3 linked regions of the Macaca fascicularis genome follow. The main gene of each other region encodes a partner of the protein of the gene in region 3 in a complex. Links are inferred from orthologs where the notes say so. Each region holds a gene or a part of one and is shown on either strand. Other genes may lie near its edges. The genes, in order: OSGEP, GON7 and TPRKB.

Region 1 (6,666 bases), on a different chromosome or scaffold from region 3:
AGTTATTTATATTTCTGAACTTTTAGAACAACAAAGTCTATATAATCATCCCCAGTAATACAAAAACAAAACATGTAGTTGCCCTAAAATAATAAATCAGGTAGCGTCCCTTAGTTCCTTATTTTTTTTTTTTTTTGAGACAGAGTTTTGCTCTCATTGCCCAGGCTGGAGTGCAATGGTGTGATCTCGGCTCACTGCAACCTCCACTTCCTGGTTCAAGCAATTCTCCTGCCCAGCCTCCCAACTTGCTGGGATTACAGGCACCTGCTACCACGCCAAATTAATTTTTGTTATTTCTAGTAGAAATGGGGTTTTGCCATGTTGGCCAGGCTGGTCTCAAACTCCTGACCTCAGATGATCCACCCACCTTGACCTCCCAAAGTGCTGGAATTACAGGTGTGAGTTGCCATGCCCAGTAACCGTTAGTTTCAGTTGCTAAGATTTACAGAAAAAATAAGCTTCAAAATAATGCAAGATCTTTCAGATATTCATTATTTTGAAGGCTTCAATCCTTACCATTCATTCCTTTCCTGAAGTAGAAATTCCTAATCTTTATGATCAGATATAAAGTCTGATAATGATAAGTCATCTAATGTTCTGAACATGCTGCCAAAATTTGCAATGTTACAAACTCGGTTGGGAGTTTTCTGGTCTACAGTATTTTAGGTTCAGATGAGTTCAGCTTTGTTCCTGACATTCCCATGACTCAGATAGAACGAAGAAGATATTGGTTCAGTGCCTCGGAAATTGAGATGGAATGGGTAGAGCACTCTAAATACCTGTGTATTTCCTCCACTGACATACAACACGGTTGGGCTGGTGGCTCCAGTGATGAGGCGGCCCATCTCGATGTGGCCTATACAGTGGTTCACACCCACCAATGGCTTATTCCACAGTTGGGCCACAGTACGGGCCACAACAGCCACAGAAACCAGTGGGGCACCCATGCCAGGGCCTAGGGAGATAGAAATGGAAGTTACAATGCTAGAGATTGGAAAAAAAATAGGTGGGGGAAGTAAGGGATGTGAGGTGGGGTAGGGGTAGTGGTGGTGGCAGAGGTAAGGTGTTGGCTATTTTGACCTAGCCAGGTTGCAGGTATATTCCTCCATCGTTGACCACTCTCCCAGCCATACCCTTGGTGTATGCAATGCAATCGATATCCTGGGAGGTTAATCCAGACTCTGTTAGTGCCTCCTGCAGCAGGTCTAGGATAACAGCTCGGTGATGCCTGGCTGTATCACCTGGAAGGAATCCTAGAAAATGAACACAGGTCAGAGATCACAGGGATTTTTGGTAGCAAAGGTAGGTAGGAAGTTAAAGAAAGCAACAGGAGGTTTAGTGATGTAGTAAGAGTCCTTTCACTTTCCCCAAGCATCCTATCTTCCACATTTTCGGATACACTCTTTCCAGCTTCTATATAGGCTGTTCAACTTTCAGAAATTCTCTTCCTCTTACCCTACTCAGCCTTCATGTCTCAATGCAAGTGGTATCTACCCATACCCTTTGGTGATCTTTTTTTTTTTTTTTTTTTTTTTGAGACGGAGTCTAGCTCTGTCACCCAGGCTAGAGTGGCCTGGTGCGATCTCGGCTCACTGCAAGCTCCACCTCCTGGGTTCATGCCATTCTCCTGCCTCAGCCTCCCAAGTAGCTGGGACTACAGGTGCCCACCACTGCACCCGGCTAATTTTTTGTACTTTCAGAAGAGACGGGGTTTCATTGTGGTCTCGATCTCCTGACCTCATGATCCACCCGCCTCGGCCTCCCAAAGTGCTGGGATTACAGGTGTGAGCCACCGCGCCCCGCCTTTTTTTCTTTCTTTTGAGACGGAGTCTTGTTCTGATGCCCAGGCTGGACTGCAGTGGCACGATCTCGGCTCACTGCAACCTCCGCCTCCTGAGTTCAAGCAATTCTTCTGCCTTAGCCTCCCAAACAGCTGGGACTACAGGCGACGCCACCACACCCAGCTAATTTTTGTATTTTTAGTAGAGACGGGGTTTCACCATATTGGCCAGGCTGGTCTCAAACTCCTGACCTCGTGATCCGTCTGCCCTGGCCTTCCAAAGTGCTGGGATTACAGGCCTGAGCCATCGCGCCCAGCCTGGTGACCTTCTTTCTCTGTGACCCTACAGAACTCTGTGCATGATGATGTCATTTATTTAACAATTACAACATAATAATTTTCTGTGGTTTGCTCAGCTTAATCATGAGTATCTCAAAGCAGTAAGTATTTTGTTTATCTTTGTATTCCCAGTGCCCAAGTGCCTAGAGGAGTGAATGCTAAACATACATACCTATTTCTAATGAGTAATCTGTCACATCACCTGTTCAGGGAGGCTTTTCAGATACATGCAAATCAGTCGCCCCTCTCCTATGTATGCAAGTGTTTGAGGGGAGAGTAGGCAAGACACAATGGCTTATTAAAAGTGGTAACGTGTTTTGTACTTTCTTTTTTCTTTTTTTTTTTTTGAGACGGAGTTTCACTCTTGTTGCCCAGGCTGGAGTGCAATGGCATGATCTCGGCTCACCACAACCTCAGCCTCCCGAGTAGCTGGGTTAACAGGCATGTGCCACCACGCCCGGTTAATTTTTTGTATTTTTTAGTGGAGACAGGGTTTCTCCATATTGGTCAGGCAGTTCTTGAACTCCGACCTCAGGTGATCCACCCCGCCTGGGCCTCCCAAAGTGCTGGGATTACAGGCGTGAGCCACCACACCCAGACGTATTTGGTACTTTCATCTAATCTTCAAGACCTAATGATACAGGTATTATTCCCATTTTAAAAACAAAGACTAGGCCCGGGCGGTGGCTCATGCCTGTAATTTTCACACTTTGGGAGGCTGGGGTGGGCGGATCATCTGAGGTCAGGAGTTCGAGACCAGCTTGGCCAACATGGTGAAGCCCCGCCTCTACTAAAAATACAAAAATTAGCTGGGTGTGGTAGCACACACCTGTCTGTAGTCCTAGCTACTCGGGAGGCTGGGGTAGAAGAATCTCTTGAATCTGGGAGGCAGAGCTTGCAGTAAGCCGAAATCGTGCCATTGCATTCCAGCCTGGGCAACAGAGCAAGACTGTCTCAAAAACAAATTAAAATAAAAAATAAAGACCAAATGTCCAAAACATAAATATTTAATGTGAATACAGCACAGCCAGCCAGTTCTCTGACATGTAAGCTGGGAGTCTTTCCACTCTCATCTCTCTACTCATCCTAGAATATTTCAAAAAATAAATTTTTTTTAAAAAGGAGTGTATATTCAGGGCAACTGGAATATATACTCCTGCTAAGCGTTTTTTAAACAGAATATTTCGAGTCCATCTCTATTACACTGTTTATCATGCTGTAGTATAAACATCTATTTATATGTCTGACTCCACAGCAGTATCATAACATCTATTTCTGAATGCTTAGCACATAAAATGAGCTCAATAAACGGTAAACGAACTCATCAGATCCACGTCCAAGTGCTTGTAACTCTTCTAGTCATCAGCCTTGTGACGTTAATAATATCACATAATTTCAATAAGACTCAGATCAAAAGCTGCACCTCACTAGTATTTAGGAAGATGGAAGGCTGATTTTCTGCGGGGAAGTGCGCCGAAAACTCTTAACTCCCCTACTCACCCACCTGTGCCCGGAGGCGTGACATAAGTCCGCCGCGGGTTCGCCAGCACCTTGCCATCCCGCACCACACCCACGCCAATCTTATTGGCGCTGCCTTCAAAACCCAGCACCGCCGGCATGGCGGAGCCTGGGAGAAAACGCCGACAGGACTCCTAGCAACGTCAGGAGCTGTGGAAGTCCTCACTAGTCTGCGCTGGGCCGCAGCTTTCCGGAGCGCAGAGGAAGCGGGCTAGCCTGCAGATAACAGTGGGAAAGACAGCGCAGAACTCCCGCGAGCGGAGACCCGCCAAGGCCCCTCCAAGGACCTGTCTTCCTAACTGCCAGGGACGCCGAGCCGACTCTGTGCTTTACAATCCTGTCCGTTTTCCTATATCTTTCCCGTGGTCCAGCCCAACCTTCTCCACTTTTTTTTCCCTTTGCACAGCGTTAGACTCTTAAGTCAGAGTCAAACAATGTGCCGTGCGTCGGGCACAACGATAAACAGCCCGAACGAGGGTTGGGGCCCTAGGTCTCCTAGAGAATTAGTTGAGAGAGGCAAGGCCAAGCGACTTCGTCACGTGGTGTCAGACAGACCAATCACGCGCATTCTTCGGCCATGTGACGCGTGCCTCTGATCACGTGACCAGGTCCGCTACCCACGTGGGGGGCTCAGCGTGCATCCTTCTTTGTGCTCGGGTTAGGAGGAGCTAGGCTGCCATCGGACCGGTGCAGATACGGGGTTGCTCTTTTGCTCATAAGAGGGGCTTCGCTGGCAGTCTGAAGGGCAAGCTTGAGTCAGGACCCTTAATTAAGATCCTCAATTGGCTGGAGGGCAGATCTCGCGAGTAGGGTACAAGGCACTATGAAATGATCTAGTTACGTGGGTGAGGGGCTGAAGGGCCTATGATGCACGGAGGCGGGGAAAGGATTTAGAGATAACATGGTTTGAAAGGCGGGACCTGGTGCGGGGACGCTCTTGAGAGGAGTCTTCTCCCCAGGCTTAGCTGGTTTCATGATTTCTTTGCGTCTGTAGGCAACGCGGTAAAAATACTGCTTTGGTGGGCGACGCGGTACAGGTGCCGAAGAGCGTTCGTTACGGGAATGCCGAAGCGTGGGAAAAAGGGAGCGGTGGCAGAAGACGGGGATGAGCTCAAGACAGGTAAGAATGAAATGAGCCCCTCTTCCTAGAAGCTACGGCGGGGTTGTTTGTAATTCCCTTGATGAACGGTAAGTACCGGCCAACTCATTTTTGCAGGGGTTTGTGAAGACGCAGTAACCGCAGGCTTTCGTTGGGTCCATAGCTAACGCCGGATCGCGGTTGGAAACCACCCACTTTTTGTCAATATATATTACTCATTTTATAGAGCCAGAGCCCAAGAAGAGTAAGACGCCCGCAAAGAAAAATGACAAGGAGGCAGCAGGAGAGGGCCCAGCCCTGTATGAGGACCCCCCCGATCAGAAAACCTCACCCAGTGGCAAACCTGCCACACTCAAGATCTGCTCTTGGAACGTGGATGGGCTTCGAGCCTGGATTAAGAAGAAAGGATTAGATGTGAGTGGTGTTTGAGGGGAAGACACATTCTTTAGTATTGAATGATCTTAGGGTTTAGTCATCCCTTTTCTCCGTATAGCCTTCAGGCTGTTTTTTCTCCTGCCTGCAGTTTTCGGTGGGGCTTCCCCAGTCTTGCCAGTTGTATTTCCTAAATGTCTGCTCCTTCACTTCCATTGCCATTTTCTTTTTTAATGTTCTCTCCTCTTCCCAGAATGTTGCAAAAACCTTTTACTATACTTCCTCCATTTTATCTTCAGCATGTCCTCCATTTCATTAATTATAGCTTAAAAATCTTAGCTTGCCTATAGAAAAAACACATTCATAGTATAGCACGTAAGACTTTACCTCTGTTTTCATTTATCTAGCTTCGAATTGTTTAAATATTATTTAACCTCGAACTGCTTGACTGTTTAACCTGTGCATATTTATGACTTAGCATATATTCAATAAATGTTCTGCTGAATTGATAATACATTTTCCACCTTTCTTTTACTTATAGTGGGTAAAGGAAGAAGCCCCAGATATACTGTGCCTTCAAGAGACCAAATGTTCAGAGAACAAACTACCAGCTGAACTTCAAGAGCTGCCTGGACTCTCTCATCAATACTGGTCCGCTCCTTCGGACAAGGAAGGATACAGTGGCGTGGGCCTACTTTCCCGCCATTGCCCACTCAAAGTTTCTTATGGCATAGGTGAGACCCTATTGATGCCTAATGCCTGAACTCTTCAAGACCAATTGCTAATTCTCCATCTCTCCCCCACCTCTTGATTGCTTTTCCTTTTCTTACAGTTTTTTATGCTAATTCTGTTTCGTTTCTGTAGGCGAGGAGGAGCATGATCAGGAAGGCCGGGTGATTGTGGCTGAATTTGACTCGTTTGTGCTGGTAACAACGTATGTACCTAATGCAGGCCGGGGTCTGGTACGACTGGAGTACCGGCAGCGCTGGGATGAAGCCTTTCGCAAGTTCCTGAAGGGCTTGGCTTCCCGAAAGCCCCTTGTGCTGTGTGGAGACCTCAATGTGGCACATGAAGAAATTGACCTTCGCAACCCCAAGGGTAACAAAAAGAATGCTGGCTTCACGCCACAAGAGCGCCAAGGCTTTGGGGAATTACTGCAGGCTGTGCCACTGGCTGACAGCTTTAGGCACCTCTACCCCAACACACCCTATGCCTACACCTTTTGGACTTACATGATGAATGCTCGATCCAAGAATGTTGGTTGGCGCCTTGATTACTTTTTGTTGTCCCACTCTCTGTTACCTGCATTGTGTGATAGCAAGATCCGTTCCAAGGCCCTCGGCAGTGATCACTGTCCTATCACCCTATACCTAGCACTGTGACACCACCCCTAAATCACTTTGAGCCTGGGAAATAAGCCCCCTCAACTACCATTCCTTCTTTAAACACTCTTCAGAGAAATCTGCATTGTATTTCTCATCTATAAAAATAAGAATCCTACAACCAGGCTCCTGTGACAGATTTAGAGTTCTTTTAAGCCCAAGAGTTTTTATTTGAG
Region 2 (6,336 bases), on a different chromosome or scaffold from region 3:
AGGAGGAGAGGAAATATCCAAATTGTAATCAACGCAGATTATTTACTTAAGGCCTTCCATTTGTACCTGTATACATACTATATCACAGCACAAAAGCATACCCTACCCCATCTGGCTCTCTTAAGGTACATGATAAATCAGATTAATGCACATTCATCAAGCGGCATCATCTCAGGATATCTGTATCTTTGACATGGGTATGAATTCAGGGTTTCCTTGGGTCTCTTTCAAGGACTCTCTCTTCAGTATTTCTATTTCCTCATTTTCCTTCTATTTATGAAGAACTGTTATTTTTACATTTAATGCCCACTTTTCACCACTTGTTCATGTCAGTTCTCTGAAATGTTACTGCCTATGAACCATGACGTACTGTTTATAACAGAAGCAGAAGTTAAAAGATGTAGACATCACACAAACCAATGGTTATTTTAAAAATAGAAAACAATGATAAAAATTCAGTTGCCAACTTAAGAGGATTTTATATATTATGAAGTGTTCTATTTTCCTCCCACGGTCTGAAATTTATTTCTCAAGAAAACAGATTTTATTTCTAAGCCTTTACTGTCTTTGCTAGAAACAGAAAAACCAGTTTTCTCTTTGGCAAAATTGTCCCAGGAAAACAACACAAATGCTTTTCCAAATTAGAGCATAAGTCTTCCTTAAATGTCCTAGTGTGACAATTGGGATACAACAGCCATCTTTTAAATGTCATAAAGGCTATTGTTAAGATGGTGGTTTTGGCCGTTTTGCAGATGGTCCATCGAAGTTAGTTCTGTTATCAATGTTATTTTCATCTTCGGCATCATCTTCATCATCACCTTTTAAAATAAATATTTGTTGTATGACAATACGTTCTATGGTTGAAAGAAATATATATAGCTAAAGTGGTTGATAACGAGACCATTTCACTTTAGAGATTAATAAAACCATGCACATTTTAGATTAAAATGATTTTGAGAATTTCAGTGTTTAAAATCTTTATTTTCTATCACTTTCCTCTTTGGAAATATTAACTCATTCATCATAAAATCCAGTCTCTTTTTTTTTTTGAGATGGAGTCTTTCTCTGTTACCAGGCTGGAGTGTAGTGGCGCGATCTCAGCTTACTGCAACCTCTGCCTCCAGGGTTCAAGTGATTCCCGTCTCAGCCTCCCAAGTAGCTGGGATTACAGGCACGCGCTACCATGCCCGGCTAATTTTTTGTATTTTAGTAGAGACAGCGTTTCACCATGTTGGCCAAGATGGTCTCGATCTCCCGACCTCGTGATCTGCATGCCTTGGCCTCCCAAACTGCTGGGATTACAGGCATGAACCACTGTAGCCGGCCAAAATCCACTTTTAAAAGTGTACCGCTTAGTGGTTTTTAGTATATTCACTAGATTGTGCAACCATCACCACTCTCTAATCCTAGAACACTTTCATCACTCCAAAGAGAAATGAATTATGCCCATTAGCAGTCACTTTCCCTCAGCCTTCGGCAACCACTAATCTACTTTTGTTCCCCCTTAATTTTTATTAGTGAGAGGGTCTTGCTATGTTGCCCAGGCTAGACTCAAACTCCCAGGTTCAAGTGATCCTCCTGTGTCAGCCTCTAGAGTAGCTGGGACTACAGGTGCCCACCACTGCACCCAGCTCACTAATCTCTCTCTATGGATTTGCCTATTCTGTACATTCATATAAACAAAATCATATAACATGTACCCTTCTGTGTCTGGCTCTCACTGTAGCATAATGTTTTCAAGGTTCATTCATGTTGTAGCACGTATTAATACTTCATTACCTTTTATTGCTAATAATATTCCATTGTATGGATACACCACATTTTGTTAATGCACTCATCAGTTGATGGATATTTGCATTATTTCTATTTTTTAAAATTATCATTATTTTTAGAGATGAAGCGATGGGGCCTCACTCTGTCCTCCAGGCTGGAGTGCAGTGGAACAATCAGCCCACTGCAGCTTCAAACTCTTGGGTTCACGTGATCCTCCCACCTCCTAAAGGTGCAACACCAAGCCCGGTCAATTGTTGTTTCCACATTTTAGTCACTATAAATGCTGCTGCTATGAACATTCATGTGTAAGTTTTTGTGTGAACATACTTTCCAGTTCTCTTGCGAGGACTACCAGTGGAACTGCTGGGTCATGTGGTAACTTCATATCAACTTTTTGAGGAGCTACCAAACTCTTTTTCCCAGTGGTTACACTGTTTTACATTTCCACCAACAATGTACAAGATCTCCAATTTCTCCACATTCCAGCCAACACTTGTTATTGTTCTTTTTGATCATAGCCAACATCCATATTATCAAGATGTAATTCCCAAGATGGAAGGAAAGTACAGTTTAAGCTCTTCTTAGAGAATTGTAAATCCTAACTCTAATATCTATTCTTGGATTTTTCAGCTCAGGACAGTTAAAATGTACCTGCCTGGCCAGGTGCAGCAGCTCAGGCTTGTAATTCCAGCACTTTGGGAGGCCAAGGCAGGTGGATCACGAGGTTAGGAGTTCGAGACCAGCCCGGCCAACACAGTGAAACCCTGTCTCTACTGAAAATACAAAAACTAGCTGGGAGTGGTGGCGGGCGCCTGTAATCTCAGCTACTTGGGAGGCTGAGACAGGAGAATCACTTGAACCCGGGAAGCAGAGGTTGCAGTGAGCCGAGATTGTGCCACTGCACTCCAGCCTGGGCAACAGAGCTAGACTCCATTTCAAAAAAAAAAAAAGTACCTGCCTATTTCTGCATTCGAGGCAATTTTTAAAAAATAATGCAGTTAAACTTCACGTTTCTACTTTCAAACTGCACCTACAAAACTGGAAAGGCAAGGGAGTCTCTAGGAGTTAATACATGTTAAAATTAAGTCTGTCCCACTCCTTGGAACCTGTTCCTACTCTGCGATAGATTGTACTCTTCCAAATATGTCTGTAGTTTCACACCTGATAAAACTCCTTTTTATTCAATACTCCAGCTCAAAAGTCTTATCCTCTTTGAAGCCTTCCGAGGGTCTCTGGGTTTGCAACACTTACAGAGGGCCATAGAACCACGTTCTTTTTTTTTTTTTTTTGAGACGGAGTCTCGCTCTGTAGTCCAGGCTGGAGTGCAGTGGCACGATCTCGGCTCACTGCAACTTCCGCCTCCCGGGGTCAAGCGATTCTTCTGCCTCAGCCTCCCCAGTAGCTGGGATTACAGGTGCCCGCCACCACTCCCAGCTAATTTTTGTATTTTTAGTAGAGACAGGGTTTCACCATATTGGCCAGGCTGGTCTCGAACTCCTGACCTCGTGATCCGCTCGCCTCAGCCTCCCAAAGTGCTGGGATTACAGGCGTGAGCTACCAGCCTGGCCACTTTCACTTTTAATAAGAGTGTCTGCCTGTATAATCCCCTTGTGTTTCACAAGGGCAGGAACTGAGTCGCATTGACCTCATTCTTCCTCCAGGGCTCAGCTCAGGGTTTGGCAAATAGTAGTAGGCATTCGGCAAGTTTTTTAGTGAAATAAATGAAATAGCGATGAGTCGTGGAAATGTTTGAGTAGAAGCAGCCCAAATATAGTGATAAATGCCAACAATTTTTATTTTTTAAATTATCTTTGAAATAACAATGGAAACGGGGTCTCGATATGTTGCCCTGGCTGTTCTGGAACTCCTGACCTCAAGTGATCCTCCTGCCTCGCCCTCCCAAAGTGTTGGGATTACAGGAGTGAGCCCCACTTCGCCTGGCCCGCCAAAAATTTTTAGATGCAATTCTTCTTTCCTCGAGGCTCACTTTGTCCAAGTCTGCCACTCTACACGGGCTCCCCAAGCCAATTTCCCCTGGCTCCCGCCCCGTCCTCCTGTCGCTGCAGCACCGTCTCAGAGCTCACCGTCCAGGGCCTCGTCTGGAGCCGCCGCCACCCGGTGCTGCACTTCCGCCTGTACCAGGGGGCCGAATAATTCCGTTACCAGCTCCTTCATCTGGGCCACGCCAGACAATAGGCCCTGGAAAGGGTCGCCGTCACCCGGCGCCTCACAGGACACCCGCAGCTTCTGCGGCTTCCCTTCCTGCCCGACATACTCTCCCAGCAGCTCCATGGTGACCACTAAGCTTCCAGAACACGACACCGGGAAGCGCCACCCGGAGGCGGAAATCAGCCCGTGGCCTGCGCAGGCGGCAGAAGGGAGAGGAGTGACATCCGTTTGTCGGAAGTCGCTCCTCCCCCTTCCTTCGCCTTTTTTCCTTGTCATTGGTTCCTGGCACTCGGGCCCCGCCTCCTCCGGCTACGCCCCTCGTGGCCGCTTTTCCCGCCTCCGCCGGGGCCGAGCCGCGGTTCGGGTGACAGTTGAGGATGGCCGGAGCCGAGGGCTCCGCTGGGCGGCAGTCGGAGCTGGAGCCCGTGGTATCGTTGGTCGACGTCCTCGAGGAGGACGAGGAGCTGGAGAATGAGGCGTGTGCTGTCCTGGGCGGCAGCGACTCCGAGAAGTGCTCCTACTCGCAGGTGGGCACGCGGCCCGGGCCTTGTCTCCCGCGGCTCCCGCCGAACCTCCCCTTCCCGGCCCGGCTGTCCCTATTCCCGCCTGCCGCAGTCGTCTCCCCAGTGGTGGTCCGGGGCCGCCGTTAGTCTGCCGCTTCCTTACCCCAAGCCCACCCTTCCCTTTTATCCCCAACCTCCTGGGCCCCCTTCAGCCTGTGTCCAGCAGGGGCCCCCATCTCCCCTCTCTCTAACTCTGTCCGGCCAGCCAGGAAGGACCCTGGAGCAGCTGCTCTGTCCGTCCTCTCCAGCCTCGTCCTGGTGCACCACTGCTTTTCACGAAACCAGCCCGCGACCTCTCAGATCCAGACATCTTTGTCCCTGCTTTTCCCATCCTAAGATTATTTATTTATTTATTAGGGACCAAATGGGAGACGTCAGGTTAAAGAGATTTTCAAATCCATAGGGATTTGCGGTGAGCTCCTTGACAGCTAGTTCCTCTGCAATTTAGTTTGACAAGTGCTAGCTAGTACTTTTTCTTTCTTTTTTTGGCAAAATGGAGCAAGTACCCATGTCTGTCTGCAGTCTGCCCTCCTCCCCTGGAAATAGACCGGAAACAGAACAGCAAGTGGCTCTGGCAGGGGAGGGGAGAGAGGAGAAAAGGATCTATTTGGCATTTGGAAGACGTTGTGAGTGAGCAAGTGTTTGAGGGGGTGTGATGTGTTTAGTGACTCACCCTATACTTCGAGGCACAAAAATGGAAAAGGATGGGTAGGAAGAAGACTGACAAAGGATAAGAACTGGCAGGAAGAAGGGTTACCGAGGCAGAGGGGTGGATTGGAACACTGGGGAGATGAGAGGAGAGACTTGCATTCATTATGTGGTATGAACTGAGGTCATAATACCAGTTCTCGTTGTTGACCAAGTTTAGTTTACACTGCAAAGTGCTAGATTGTTGAATAAACCTGGTATCCAGACATAGCCCCAGGTACTTTAAAACCTTTGGTCACCACTAAAACAATTTTTCGCCTGCTTTCCTTAAAAAAAAAAAAAAAAGTTCTAAGTCTGTATGTAAACTATTTTTGAAGTGTAGTTACCTTTATAAAATGGATTCCCTTAATGTTTTCTTTTTATTGTGGTAAAAAAAAAATATGGAAATTTGCACAAATCATGTACACAGCTTGAAAGGAAAGTGTGCATGTTCCCACCACCCAGATCAACAAATAGAACATTAGGAGTGCAAAAGGCTTATTGGAAAAGAACTTAAAAAAAAAGAGAAAAGAAAGAAATAGAATTTTACTGGCATCCCGGAAGCCTCCTTGTCTATTCTTCCTCCTTCCTAGAGGAAGGTAACTATACCTATTATACATATTCACTTTTTTTTTTTTTTTTTGAGATGGAATTTCACTCTTGCCACCCAGGCTGGAGTGCAATGTCATGATCTTGGCTCACCGCAACCTCCACCTCCCGGGTTCAAGCGATTCTCCTGTCTCAGCCTCCCGAGTAGCTGGGATTACAGATGCCCGCCACCACGGCCAGCTAATTTTTATATTTTTAGTAGATGGGGTTTTTTAGAGATGGGGTTTCACCACGCTGACCAGGCTGGTCTTGAACTCGTGACCTGAGGTGATCTGCCCACCTTGGCCTCCCAAAGGGCTGGGATTACAGGCGTGAGCACTGCACCCAGCCTACATATTCACTTTTTAACATTTTGTCACATTTATCTCCTTTTCTACTTAAAATTTGTTGTTTTAAAATTTTGAACTATTTAAAAATAAGTTGCAGACATGATGACACTATACCTCTAAATACTTCAGCATGCATCTCCTAAAAATCAAAGAGATTCTTTGCATGTGTTGATTCTCTCTTTGGTGGATTTACAAACATTTTCCAG
Region 3 (6,318 bases):
TGGAGAGACGGGGGCCTCACTATTTTGCCCAGGCTGGTCTTGAACTCTTGGCCTCAAGCAAACCCCCTATTTCAGCTTCCCAAAGCACTGGGATTACAAGCATGAGCCAGCACACCTGGCCAAGAGGATTGTATTAAACAAAGGAATTAGTTTAGATTTCCATTTACCAAACTGGGAGAAGTGTGTTCGATTGCCAGTAGCTGCTACAGTACCTAGCGAACACCTAATGTACTGCAGAAAAGTAGGGGAGATCTGGGAGGAAGCCCACTTGCTGCAGATATTGGGGCTCCCTTAAGGACCCTTTTTTGACCTCTTTAGCAACTTCTTACCTGGATCGCTGGATCCTGGACTAGGTTGCTGCTCCAGGCAGACCCAATCAGCCTGTTTGTGGAGTAGTCCTCCTGGGCCTAGTAAAATGTATTCTGGCTATGGCTCAACAATGTTGCACTGACATTGTGTCTGTCAAGGTGTTAAGTCAATCTGAGAAGACAAACCTCCGCCTCCAGGTACTAGGAGGTTGGTGGGCATATGGAATGGACTAGCTGTGCTAAGGGGGATAATCTGGGTTAAGGGCATAGACTGCAGGATAGTTCTCCAGGTGGCCTTGGACAAACTTAGTTCTTTCTCCTTTCTCACTTGTGGTTCTCTAGGATAACTGTAGAATGTGCTGGGAATGTAGCATCCTGTGATAAAGAGAGACTAACCAGAACAGCCAGGGCCCTGTTCCAGTCTGTCCTAGAAATAGAATGTCCTTCATATATATACATACATACACACACACACACACACACACAATATATATATATATATATTTTAGAGGGAGTTTCACTCTTGTTGTCCAGGCTGGAGTGCAATGGCACAATCTTGGCTCACAGCAACCTCTACCTCAAAGGTTCAAGCGATTCTCCTGCCTCAGTCTCTCGAGTTGCTGGCATTACAGGTACGCACCACCATGCCTGGCTAATTTTTTTATTTTTTAGTAGAGATGGGGTTTCTCCATGTTAGTCAAGCTGGTCTCGAACTCCCAACCTGAGGTGATCTGCCCACCTCGGCCTCCCAAAGTATTGAGATTACAGGCGTGAGCCACCACGTCCGGCCGAATGTCCTTCATGTTTTAGCCCAGTGTGTCATGCCTCCCCATCTTTTTCCCCCACCCCGCCCCCCACAATTAGGCTGTTCTTGCATTGCTACAAAGAAATATCTGAGACCGAGTAATTTATATAGAAACCAGGTTAAATTGGCTCATGGTTCTGCAGGCTGTACAGGAAGCATAGTACCAGTATCTGTTTGGCTTCTAAGGAGGCCCCAGGGAGCTTTTACTTTTGGCAGAAGGAGAAGGGCGAGCAGGCACATCACACGGTGAGAACTGGAGCAAGAGACAGTGTGTGTTTGGGGGTGCCACACACTTCTAAAGAACCAGATCTCCCTAGAACTCACTCACTATTGCAAAGACACCAAGCCATAAGAGATCCACCTACATGACCCAAACACCTCCCATCAGGTCCCACCTCCAACACTGGGGATCACAATTCAACATGAGATTTGGCAGGGACATACATTCAAACTGTATCAATCCATCCCTGGACCCCCAAATCTCATGTCCTTCTCACATTGCAAAACATAATCATGACTTCCCAATCATCCCCCAAAGTTTTAACTTGTTCCAGCATTAAACTCAAAAGTCCAAAGTCCAAAGTCCAAAGTGTCACAGGAGACAAGGCCCAGAAAAAGAACGAAGAAGTCTCAGCAGGGCGTGGGGGTTCACGCCTGTAATCCCAGAACTTTGGGAGGCCAACGCGGGCTGATCACGAGATCAGGTGATCGAGACCATCCTGGCTAACACGGTGAAACCCCGTCTCTACTAAAAATACAAAAAATTAGCCGGGTGTGGTGGTCCGTGCCTGTAGTCCCAGCTGCTTGGGAGGCTGAGGCAGGAGAATGACTTGAACCCGGAGGCGGAGGTAGCAGTGAGCCGAGATTGCGCCACTGCACTCCAGCCTGAGTAACAAAGCGAGACTCTGTCTCAAAAAACAAACAACAACAACAAAAAAGAAATCTCGAGCAGCGGAAATGTATGTAGAACTCATTTTGGTCGGTACTTTTCCTTGTACAGGAAGAAACTGAGGAAGCCCGGTGCAACGCCCAACACTGATTAACACAAAGCCGAGACTCAAAACCGGACCTCAACTTCCGGTGCCAGCCCATATATGCTTCCATTGCCTTCGCCGGAAGTGATATACAGCCCCTATTCTCCTTCGCGTCCGTTGACGGGACCCAGGCTGGGAGGGCGGAAGAATGGGCGGCACGATGGGCGGAAGCACTCCTCTTACGGGGACCCGGAAAAACATGGCCACCTCGAGCCGGCCTATCCGGAAACTGTCTCGAAGAAGACGGGGATTGGCCATCGCTTCCGGAAGTTGTGAGCTTTGTTTCCGAGCGGGAGATCTTCCGAGACGCGCTGGGGGCTGAATGGTGAGTTTTCTTTGCCCACTTACGGGGCGGCTCGGGAGGGGAGGGTTCGGGCCGATTTAGTAATGTCCTTGGGACTATGGCTGCGGGTTCTTAAACTGGTATTTATCAAGCGCCAACGAGGCCAGCCCCTGGGAATGCAGCACGAGAATGATAGTCAGTCTGTCCCCTCAAGAAATATAGTTTAGTGAGGAGACATGCAACGGATAGGCGCACGATTCTTTAAAGTTGTGATTGGGCCCAAAAAGGAGCTAGTCCTCAAGACTAAAAAGAGCCGAAGTCCCGGAGTTGTGGGCGCTGAAGTAAATGATTCCAAATGGAGTTGAAAGGAGGGAGGAGTGCGTCAGGCGGAGATGAAAGGAGAGAGGGAACTACCTGTCCGATAGGGCAGAATCGGGGAGAAAGCTTGGTGACTTGAACTTAGAGAAGGCCATTGCGGCGGTAGCAGAAGAGGGAGGCAGGGACCAGATCGTAGAGTATGGAACACCGTGACGCAAAGTTGGGGGTTTATCATAAGAGCAGCAGAATGGCAAGATCTGATGGTCATTTTGAAAGGATCACTAGAACTGCGGGTGAAGACTGGATTATAGGAGGGCAGGAATTGTGAGAAACCACTCAGGAGGCTACTGCTGTAGATGAGCGGTGTGACCTAGCTTATGGGAGAGAAGTGGACGAATCAAAAGTATATTTAGCAGGTGAAAATTCAGGACTTTACGGATTAGATATAGGATTTGAGTGACAGGTTGGGTACTCAACGATGATTCCAGGTTTCTGGACTGAGTGAATTATGCTAAACAAGAAGAAACTATTTTGAGATTTTTCTAAGGATTCTTTCCCCCACCCCCAGTGTTAAAAACCACATTTTTTTCCCCTTTCTTATGATGTCTACTCATGTGTTGTATGCTCACTGTAGAAAATTCAGAACATACATAACAAAATACTTTCTTTTGTATAAAGGACAATAAAAATCACCTCATAACCTCACTACCCAAGATGGTCATATTTTAGTGTTTCCTTCATGTGTTTTTAAAAAATATGTGTATCTTTTTATATATTGGTATCCTACTGATTATATCTTTGTGTATCCATTTTTTTCCTCTTAGCATGAGTAATGATTGAACTGTGGCCAGGATATTGTTCACAAATATTTTTTTTCCTGTTTGTAGCAGAAAAAGTCAAGTTGATTCTAAGTAAGAGATAACGTTAGCTTTCTGGTGTGTTTTCTTTGTAATATTTGTTTAAAAGCTTTTTAAAAAACTCACATGTTGGCCAGTTTGTGTTTTGTTTTCCATTCAGATGTTTTTACTTAATGTTATTTATTGCCATTTTTACACAACGTCAAGACCACATGTTTTAATGGTTGTTAAATCACAACCAATCCCATCATTAGCTAGATAGGTTATTTTCAACTTTTTACTGTTAAAATAATGAGAGGAACATCTTATATAATTCTTGGATTCCTAATGACTTCCATCAGTAAGAGTTCTAGAAATATAATCTGCCAGGTAAAAGGATAAAATGAGTCTCAAATTGCCCCACCAAAATATCTTATTAAGAATTTGATAGAACTTGTTTTAAAGAAATTTTTGCAATACATAGTTTTTCCATTCAAAGATATGGTCATGTCTTTCTAGTTAATTCAAATTGTCTTTTATGTCTTTATATATAATAACCTATCCTTTTCTTGTTAAGCTTATGTCCAAGAAAGGAGCAATATTGATTATTTAATACCCTCTCTGCTTAATTTCCATGTGTGGAATTAATATCTTTGGGTCAAGTGTGATACTTTATTCTTTTTTTTTTTTTTTTTGAGACTGAGTTTCACTCTTGTTGCCCAGGCTGGAGTGCAATGGTGCAATCTTGGCTCACTGCAACCTCCGCCTCCCAGGTTCAAGTGATTCTCCTGCCTCAGCCTCCTGAGTAGCTGTGATTACAGGCATGTGCCACCATGCCTGGCTAATTTTTTTGGTATTTTTAGTAGAGATGGGGTTTCTTCATGTTGGTCAGACTGGTCTCAAATTCCCGACCTCAGGTGATCTGCTCTTCTTGGCCTCCCAGAGTGCTGGGATTACAGGCGTGAGCCACCATGCCCGGCCTGCTTTATTCTTTAAAATTATTTTCTTCCTTAATATTTAGTCTAGGCCTTCCTAAAATATAAATAAAATGATGAGATCAGGAATTTAAAAAGACTAAGATAGAGTAAGACTTCATTAATACCATAAATAACCTCTGGTTTAAAAAATTCCTGACATTCTGCTCCTGCTTGTCTGCTGGGGAAGCAGCCCTTCAACCATGCATCTGAGCCTGCCTTATCTGAACAAACAGCAACCAGCTGGGCCCTTTGGCGTTTCCCTGGGAATGGCAGTGGAACTAGAAACAGCTCAAAAGGGTTAGGAAGACAACATCTCATGAGGATGCCAAATGGGCTTTGGCGATGGATTTTTCTAATTTAAAACTTTTTATCATGTTGTTATCAAAGTTATTGAATATTTGTTAAGAAATGAGTTATAATGTTAACTTTTAAATAAACGAAATCTTTTGGTCTTTTCATTTTGTGTGCAGTAGAATCCTGCTTATCTGTGAAATGCAGTTAACACATCAGCTGGACCTATTTCCTGAATGCAGGGTAACCCTTCTGTTATTTAAAGATGTAAAAAATGCGGGAGACTTGAGAAGAAAGGCCATGGAAGGCACCATCGATGGATCACTGATAAATCCTACAGTGGTAAATATAAATTGTAAGAATGAATGAGCTGGCTGGGTGCGGTGGCTCATGCCCATAATCCCAGCACTTTAGGAGGCCGAGGTGGGTGGATCACCTGAGGTCAGGAGTTGAAGACAAGCCTGGCCAACATAGTGAAACCCTGTCTCAACTAAAAATACAAAAATTAGCTGGACGTGGTGGCGGGTGCCTATAATCCCAGCTACTCGGGAGGCTGAGGCAGGAGAATCATTTGAACCCGGGCGGCGGAGGTTACGGTGAGTCAAGATTGCGCCATTGCACTCCAGCCTGGGCGACAAGAGTGAAACTGTCTCAAAAAAAAAAAAAAAAAAAAAAAAAAAAAAGCCAGGCGTGGTGGCTCACGCCTGTAATCCCAGCACTTTGGGAGGCCGAGGTGGGCAGATCACGAGGTCAGGAGTTTGAGACCAGTCTGGCCAATATGGTGAAACCCTGTCTCTACTAAAAATACAAAAATTAGCTGAACGTGGTGGTGGGCACCTGTACTCGGGAGGCTGAGGCAGGATAATCGCTTGAGCCTGGGAGGCAGAGGTTGCAGTGAGCCGAGATCACGCCACTGCACTCCAGCCTGGGCAACAGAGCAAGACTGTGTCTCAAAACAAAACAAAACAAACAAACAAAAAAACAATGAATGAACCATACAGGCCATTTAAGTATACGTTAATATTTGTGATGTTATAGGGTAGCCTAAAATTCTGTCACTGTTAGGGAAAAAATTCTTGTCCAAGTCAGATGCAGCCAACCTGGACTATAACAGTGAATAGAGGCAGAAGTGCCAGGTCCTGCCCTAGGAAGGAGGAAAGGTTGTGGTCTGGGTCTAACATGGGAAATGCCTGGATCTCCAGCTTCTTATCTTTAAAATGGGGGTTCTTAACAAGACAGTCTGTAGAGGAGGCATAGCGTAGTGGTTAAGAGCACACACAGAGGCCAAGGGGTGTGGATTGCTTGAGGCCAGGAGTTTGAGACCAGTGTGGCCTACATAGTGAAACCCTGTCTCTACTAAAAATACAAAAAGTAGCTGGGCATGGTGGTGTGTGCTGGTAGTCCCAGCTACTCGGGAGGCTGAGGCACAAGAATCACTTGAACCTGGGAGGCGGAGGTTGCAGTGA

Evidence for each region.
Region 1: TPRKB (region 3) and OSGEP share a complex: the UniProt entries of both Homo sapiens proteins name them as parts of the EKC/KEOPS complex. The link is inferred for Macaca fascicularis from reciprocal best matches to the Homo sapiens genes TPRKB and OSGEP.
Region 2: TPRKB (region 3) and GON7 share a complex: the UniProt entries of both Homo sapiens proteins name them as parts of the EKC/KEOPS complex. The link is inferred for Macaca fascicularis from reciprocal best matches to the Homo sapiens genes TPRKB and GON7.

What each region holds. Positions count from the first base shown.
Region 1 is NC_088381.1:88,042,317-88,048,982, forward strand, and holds the start of OSGEP (tRNA N6-adenosine threonylcarbamoyltransferase), read right to left. Parts: upstream 3,891-6,666; 5' UTR 3,739-3,890; coding exon 3,624-3,738; intron 1,254-3,623; coding exon 1,134-1,253; exon of another isoform or gene 1,081-1,133; intron 956-1,080; coding exon 780-955; intron 1-779. Other genes in the region: DNA repair nuclease/redox regulator APEX1, read left to right, coding at 4,700-4,757, 4,963-5,150, 5,650-5,842, 5,973-6,490. UniProt on the Homo sapiens protein: Component of the EKC/KEOPS complex that is required for the formation of a threonylcarbamoyl group on adenosine at position 37 (t(6)A37) in tRNAs that read codons beginning with adenine.
Region 2 is NC_088381.1:161,205,068-161,211,403, forward strand, and holds the start of GON7 (EKC/KEOPS complex subunit GON7), read right to left. Parts: upstream 4,124-6,336; 5' UTR 4,066-4,123; coding exon 3,858-4,065; intron 819-3,857; coding exon 724-818; 3' UTR 1-723. Other genes in the region: putative E3 ubiquitin-protein ligase UBR7, read left to right, coding at 4,320-4,469. UniProt on the Homo sapiens protein: Component of the EKC/KEOPS complex that is required for the formation of a threonylcarbamoyl group on adenosine at position 37 (t(6)A37) in tRNAs that read codons beginning with adenine.
Region 3 is NC_088387.1:48,235,618-48,241,935, forward strand, and holds the start of TPRKB (EKC/KEOPS complex subunit TPRKB), read left to right. Parts: upstream 1-2,412; 5' UTR 2,413-2,472; intron 2,473-5,031; 5' UTR 5,032-5,053; coding exon 5,054-5,194; intron 5,195-6,318. UniProt on the Homo sapiens protein: Component of the EKC/KEOPS complex that is required for the formation of a threonylcarbamoyl group on adenosine at position 37 (t(6)A37) in tRNAs that read codons beginning with adenine.